Linked DNA regions of Ovis aries. The protein of the gene in region 2 purifies or fractionates together with the protein of the main gene of each other region. This does not show direct contact. Links are inferred from orthologs where the notes say so. Each region holds a gene or a part of one and is shown on either strand. Other genes may lie near its edges. The genes, in order: interferon-activable protein 203 and MKI67.

The links.
Region 1: the proteins of MKI67 (region 2) and interferon-activable protein 203 purify together in Homo sapiens (affinity purification with mass spectrometry; 3 studies listed by BioGRID and IntAct, with this or other methods). This does not show direct contact. The link is inferred for Ovis aries from reciprocal best matches to the Homo sapiens genes MKI67 and IFI16.

Annotation. Positions count from the first base shown.
Region 1 is NC_056054.1:109,959,022-109,962,839, forward strand, and holds part of interferon-activable protein 203, read right to left. Parts: intron 3,258-3,818; coding exon 3,096-3,257; intron 1,611-3,095; coding exon 1,443-1,610; intron 1-1,442.
Region 2 is NC_056075.1:47,010,277-47,014,094, forward strand, and holds part of MKI67 (proliferation marker protein Ki-67), read right to left. Parts: intron 3,730-3,818; coding exon 2,629-3,729; intron 1,201-2,628; coding exon 1,025-1,200; intron 1-1,024. UniProt on the Homo sapiens protein: Protein that associates with the surface of mitotic chromosomes and acts both as a chromosome repellent during early mitosis and chromosome attractant during late mitosis.

The DNA.
Region 1 (3,818 bases), on a different chromosome or scaffold from region 2:
TCAGAGTTAACAGTAATAAAAACAGTAACACGATAAAACTTGAACAATTATGTTAAAAGAAATGTCTTCAACTGGTATGCTTGGATTCGTATAGAGGGCTTCAGCCTAGGCAGCTTGGAACTTGGGTGACAAGCTATTTTCGTGATTTAAATGTTGCTTTGGCCTATTTCTCCTGTCACTTGCTTATTTGCTGCAGGAATAGGTGTTGTACCCCAGCGTGATGGTAACCACAAGGGTCATATCAGGACAGAATAAAGGCAGGCGAGCATAGGAGTCGATGCACATGTGTGTGTGTCATTTTTCCACCCTGATCTGGTCTTATCCTGGGAATAGGGCACTATGAATGAAAAACGCTGCCTGCCATATCAGTAAACTGAGGATGTTGTGGCCATCAAGCCATCGCATTACAGCTGCCCACACTGTAAGCCCTGAGGGAACTCAGGATAGAAGCAAAATGCCCTCCAGCAAGCAGTCAACTGCTTCAGCCAATCCTGACGGCGCCCCCTCAGGAGACTCAGGGTAAGGATACTGGCCCCAGATAGCTGAACTTTATAGCAAAGGGTCTGTGAGCCCAGATCTTTGCATCTTTCTGTATATAAAAATGTGTTAAATTTTAACTTGAGACATCAGGTTCTCTTTAAAAACAGTAACATTTTGATGTTCTGACTGCCTGGTCCTTGTTAACAAGATTCCTGTATAACCTGCCTCCCCTTCTTGCTTCTTCAGAGCAGCTCTCTCAGAGCTACCTGAGAATCTGTGTCCCCATCTTAAGTCCTCATATTTGTCTGCTGAATAAAGCATAATTCTTAACTTTTAGGTTGTGGATTTTTTCAGTTGACAGGCACCTTATAATTTATATTATAGTTCAGTAACAAAGAAAAATGTACATTTATTATAGTTTCAGTAAGTGCTAAAAAAGGGAAAGTAAACTGACCTTTGAAAGCAAGCAAGAGGAATACCTAATATATTCTGAGAGTGGGCAGGTATCAGTGGGGACTTGCCCTAGGAAGAGATTAAAGTTTGCAACTCAAGACAAGTAATTTCAAACATGAAAAGTGTCTATGTCAAAATATCAGACCTGAGAAGGAGCACCGGACTTTGAAAATGAACCCTGCCATGTGGTCAGTGAGCAAATGGGAAGAGGGCCAAAGGAAAGTGGAATGTATGAAGTAAAGACACACTCATTTTGACTTGTTTTGTCACCTTTCCCTCCTCTTTCTATTCAATACAAGAGAGTAAACCTCTCAAAATTGGAGGTTTCATGAACTCATGCTTTGGTAAACAGCCAAATTAACAAGGAGTTAGAATAGAATGGGATCACAGATTAAACACTGATAAATGAAGGGGTAAGTATAATAAATGACTAAATGGGAAGTTCAATGATGATAATTCTTGTACTTCTCTTGTAAGAAGTGCAAGGAATGGGATCAAAAAGCCGGTACCTTGCTTGAGAAATTGCTGAATGGTTTTGGTAGAACAATTGGAGTCATCTGGCCACTGCTCACAGTTGGGCACAAGCTGGTTGCTGAAGTTCCTGGAAGCTGACTCTGGTTACAAGATATCATCTTCCTTTTTAAGTCCTTAGGTGTGGTGGCTGTGTCACTTTTTTTCTGGATAAAAATAGATTTTTTTCTTAGTTCTTGAAAATGATTTTCAAAATCACACAGAATATAGCATCTTTTCTCTTTCTCAATGTTGAATCTGAACTTTTCAATTTTTTCTGGACTGATAGCACATATTCCAATACCTGTATTACTTATCCTTTACCTACCTCAACTATGATTACAGATTTCACTCTCCAAATACTAACAGCTCAGACAAAATTTCATTGATTTGGGGATGGAATCTGGGTCCTACATCTGATGCAAACTGGCCAAAGCAAGTAGATAAACTTCCCTGGCTATAAGAGAAGTAAATCTCAGTCTAAAGTTGGCTGCACTTAAGGATGTCTGTTAACTACGACTTTTTCATCAAGAAAAGACACAAGTGGGTTTCTAGTATCTATTCTATAGGCTTCTACAAACCTACTGATCTTCTGAGAAATATTACTGGGAAAAATATGGACTCTTGTGACTAATAAGAACAATGACAACAACCACAACAAAACCACAAATTTAAAGTCCCCTTATGTAGGAGTTCTGTCTTCAAGTGGAATGTGCGGGGTGGTGGTGAGGATATAGCCTGAGTTAGAGGGCAGCTTGGGTCTTGGGTAAGAAACTGGGTTAGAGATTGTGGTTTAAATCTTGCCTTTGCCTACCCTTGACACTTATCTTGGGGGAATCTTTTCCTGCCCATTCATCTTAGACACATACTCCATAGTTCCAGGTTTCATGTAACCCAGGGCAAAATAAAAACCAGGTTGGGATAGAGGTTGATGCCTACAACTGTGGACTCACTTTCCCACCCCTGTCTTGTATTCTCTTTTGATAGAGCACCTATACTCCAAGATCATTGTCTAGAAGAGAAGAAAAACAAATTTATTAAAGTTGTGATACACACTATACAGGAATAGTAAAGGATTCTGTAACGGCGATAAAAAATGAGACTATCTATAAGTTTTGGGGAGGGGTGTCTCAGTGAGGACATGCTGAGGAAGGAATTCAGGCTGGTACCTGATGGTTGAATTAATTTAGCCATTAAAGCAACATGAATCATGAGTGTGAATCAAGGAATTAGCCTATGAGCAAATACCTGACATAGGAAGGAGCATAGAATGCTGAGAACTAATCTAGAGGTGTGGTTAAGAGAAAAGGGATGAAAGGAAACCGAAATGTTGGGGATAAACATACCCTTATGTTCCTGTCTAATTGCCTGGCCACCTCCATAGGCCTGTCACATTTGTAAGGTCAGCAATTATTCGTAAATGTAAAAATGTCCAAAAGTCCAAGGACTTAGAACACACTAAGACCTCAACACTTTTTTAATTCATTTATTTAATTTGCCTCAATATTTTATTTGATAAGTTTTGGGGTGATTTGATTGCATAAAGAAGTTTGTATCTAGAAAGGGAATACTGAGAGATTTTTTTCGGGGTCATGAGTATTCTTATAATATGTTGTAAGGAGGGACACGTATTAGGAACAGGAAAATGGTACCTTGGTTAAGGAACTGCTGGATGGCTTTGGTGAAGGCATTTGAGGAGTCTGGAGAAGGCCCTTAGTTGACTCTGTGCTCGTTACTGATGATCCTGGAAGCTGACTCTCCTCCTTGGTTAGCTTCATCCTCTTAGATTCACTAGTTTCGGTGGTTTTCTTTCTCTGAAAAGTAGGATTTCCCCTGCCTGGTTAGTAGTTTTCAATGAGAAATGAAATACATCTTCACTACTTAGAAAATCAACTTTTTATTACTAGATTCTAATTATACTCATTCTAGTTAATCTCATTCTCTGTTGCTCACTTCTCCTGTCCTCAGTCTTTCTCAGCATCGGGGTCTTTTCCAAAGAGTCAGCTCTTTGCATCAGGTAGCCAAAGTACTGGAGCTTCAGCTTTAGCATCAGTCCTTCCAATTAATTTTCAGGGTTGACTTCATTTAAGATCGACTAGTTTGACCTCTTTGCTGTCCAAGGGACTCTCAAAAGTCTTCTTCAGCACCACAATTTCAAAGCATCAGTCCTTCAGCACTCAGACATCTTTGTGGTCCAACTCTCACATCTGTATATGACTACTGGAAAAACCATAGGTTTGACCTTTGTCAGCAAAGTGATGTCTTGGCTTTTTAATATGCTATCTGGGTTTGTCATAGCTTTTCTTCCAAGGAGCAACCATCTTTTAATTTCATGGTTGTGGTCACCATCCACAGTGACTTCGGAGCCCAAGAAA
Region 2 (3,818 bases):
CACTTAAAAAGAAGGGGGAAAAGTAAGCACTGAATAAGTCTTAACTGAGGCATTTCCAGTGGAAAGGTGGAAGGAACTTCCTGATGAGTGGGGCTCTGATCTATATCCAAGGAAACACCCTCCGTGGGAGTCTAACCACCTCGGGTCAGCGTGGGTTCCAAACCCACCGGAAGGGTGGGTTCAGCCCATTTCCGGGGCTCATACAAAAGAGGTGGGAAGGAGACATACCTCATGCTCCTATAGCAACAGGAAAAGAAAATTAACTGAAATGAAAAGAAATTACAGACTACCCAGGCCCTCTGGAGAAGTGGAGCTGGGGGCTGGGGGGCACACCTCTCTAGAGATATACAAGATCACACCCCTAAAGGGTCAGTGATGAAGAATTCTGAAGAGCTGATGGTCAAAACCATGGTGTGCCTGCCATCCAAGCTCTGTCTTTCACCTAGTCGTTCTAAAAGGGAAAGAACACAATCTTACAGCTCTGTCTTTCCAAATGGTATTTAACTATAACCCGAGCGTGACCACTTGGCCCAGAAGTGTGGTCAGCAGGCTGCCTCTGCAGAGAAGGGAGGTCCTGAGGACCCACCTGTGCTCAGCCACCCTTGGGTTGTGGTTCAGAACTCAGGGGTCCATTTGCCAACACCTCTGGGAATGCGTTCTCACAGAGACATTGATGCTTTTTACTTTATTTGAAAGAAGGTCTTCACTGTTATTCTACTAGTGTGAGTTTTGGAAAGAGTAAAAAAAAAAGTGTTCGTCACTTCAGTTGTGTCCAACTCTTTGCAACATCATGGACTGTAACCCACCAGGCTCCTCTGTCCGTGGGATTTCCCAGACAAGAATGGTGGAGTGGGTTACCAGTTCCTTCTCTAGGGGATCTTCCTGACCCAGGGATCGAATCCAGGTCTCCTGCACTGCAGGCGGATCCTTTATGCTGAACCACCAGGGAAGCCCCTGGAAAGAGTGTGGACCCAGGATGTGTGCCATCATCAGACCCCAGGGGGAGGGCCGCGGGGAACCTCACCTTGATGATTTTCTTCAGGACGGTGGGCGTGTGGGCGGCCAGTGACCGTCTTTGCTTTGGCGTCTCTCCTCTTTTGAGAGGTGTGTTGGGAGGTAAGTTTTCATCGAATAATTCGGGTCTCAGGCAACCCCCAAAGGAGACCCGCCTCCTCTTCGCAGCCACGCCCTCCATCTTATCTGGAGGAATGGGCACAGGTGTCAGAGTGCAAAGCAAACCGCGCCCCGAGTGCGACCCGCTTCCACTAACCATTAAAGACAAACCTACCTCAAGTTCACCGAGGCCTGGCACCTCCCCACCTTCATACTCTCCTGATGCTGATGAAGCTAATGAAAGATCCAGGACAAACCACAAAATGCCAAGGCCCAACGCGATAATGTAAGGACTCTGTTTACACGGTGACAAGTCCTGTGCGGACAGAGCCTAAGAAGGGCGTGGCTGATCAGTGGTCCCCACTGTGGACCAGAGGGATGCCAGCAGTGAGCTCCCTGATCAGTGGTCCCCACTGTGGACCAGGGGGATGCCAGCGATGAGCTCCAGCAGTGGACTGAGTAGGCTTTCCCAAGGGACTCACTCAGGCCTCACCCAGACCTGCCTGTGAGTGGAACCAGGGGCTGGAAGCTTTTCCCAGAGATCTGGACAGGCAGGCCCAACTACACACCTTTGTGAACTGCTCATCAACACAAACCCTTGTCTAAGCGACATGCCCCATTTGCGACACTCATGGGGAACACCATGAAGTCATGCACGTGAGTCTGATTTCAGAACCACACACCCCACCCCATAGGCTCTCTGCAGATGCAGAGCCGACAGCCGGGCACAGCCTGAGCACCCAGGTGGTCCCCGTGAGGACTGTGAGCTGGGCACAGCCGCTGAGCACCCGGGGGTCCCCGTGAGGACTGTGAGCTGGTCACAGCCTCTGAGCACCCAGGGGTACCCCCTGAGGACTGTGAGCCGGGCACAGCCTCTGAGCACCTGGGGTCCCCTTGGGAGTGCGGGAGGCTCCTGAGCTGCATCGCCTGCCCCACGGGTCACATCTCTGCTGCCTGCAGCATGCCATCAGGTGGCTTCCCCACTTGCAGAAGGAAGAGAATACGACACCTGTCCCACTGGCCCACCTATGCCAACACGGAGGCTGGGGAGCCACTGTCTGAAGGGCACCCACAGCAGCGCCTGGCACATAAACCCATGGAGGCGGTCCAAGGGTGTTCTAGGAACCACCCCCCATGGAAAGATTTCCAAGATTTCCACTGCTTATTCTAAAGGCTCAACCTATAGGATATAAGAGCTTGTAGTTCAGAACTGAACTCCTATGAAAAGCAATTATGCTCAAGCTTATTCTCCCAAGAATCAAATATATTTTGGGGCCACCCTATCTCCTTAGACCCCTGCTAATTCTTCCCTAGTAGCCAGCACCTCCTCTGGTTGGTGGGTTACCAGGGCTTTCACATAACTCTATGATGACGAATACGGCTCTTATGATAGTCCCTTATTGTCTCACAGAGCGAATCATTAGCGAATGAAGGAAGGGACCGCTAATTCACATCTAGACACAAGGTAGGTGTAAACTTTGGGGGGGAAATAAATGGACAGTTAAATAGACTTACTTGTGGAATCACCGAAGCTGCTGATTTCAGCTGCATCAAGGCCGGATAACCCAGGGCCCACTTGTCCAGTTGCTGGGCCCAGCTTCTCAGGCTTGTTGAGAAGATCACTCTGAATCTTCCTTTCAACTTGCAGGGCCAGTGAAGCTGAGATCATCGGAGGTGGAATCTCAGTTTCTGCAGTCAGACGGTCAACATTTGCAGGCACACTCTTCCTCTTTCTAGAGAAAAGCTTTTCTGGTGTATTTCCAAAACTCCCAACTTTAACAGGTGTTTGATTTTCAGGCAAGGACTTCTGGGGAGTGAACATCTGGTCATCTGCCCTGGAGCCTTCACTTTGGTCTAGACTCTGGGATACATGGCCACCGCCAGCACCCGGGTTTGCACTCCGCCGCCTCCGGGAGGGGCTGTGTGGTGAACACCGCAGGGGCATCGTGGTTTGCTGTGAACACTGCACGGGGGTCCTGGTTTTCCTTGTCTCCGTCTCCGTGCAGGCGATGCCAGGACTCTTGAGCTCCTTGGGCATCTGAACCGGCTCCCCACTCCCCTCTCCCTCAGTCTGGCTACTTCCTTGCTCCCCTAAACCAGGGTCTGCCTTCATGTGGGGGCTTCGGCCCGACTTCCATCTGGATTTGGGGGAGACCAGAGTCTCGTGCTGTAACCCATCAGTGCTTTCTCTGCCTGTTGTGCAGTGACGCTGCGGTCCTGATTTTCTGCGATTCTGCAGAACGCTGACTTTTCCTGGGTTCACATCTAACTCCACTTTCATTGACTCGTAAAGCTTCCTAAAGGGAGACTCACTTTGGTCACTCCTTTTAAGATACTGTATGGAAGAAAGAGCCTTCGGTTCTTCACGACAGGCCCCTGATGCTACACTGGGATCTTCTTTCGAGTCCCCAGTGGTGGGATCCGTCGCACCTCTGTGGGTATCTCCAGGAAGTTCTGAGGAACGAACACGACTGGGTGTTTTCCTGGCCACATCGTCTTCCCAGCGCCCCCACGTGGCGTGTGTGGCCGTGACGTCTTCCCCATGGGCCACAGGCCCTCCTGAAACAGCTTCTTCCGTGACTTCTGAACGGGGACTGGAATCTTGAGCTTTCCCTTCTTGACAATGAATTATGAAATAAGAAGAAGTTTGAGATTTTCTCAATGATTTTAACATGCGCAATATGCACATTTTGGAAACTATTTCA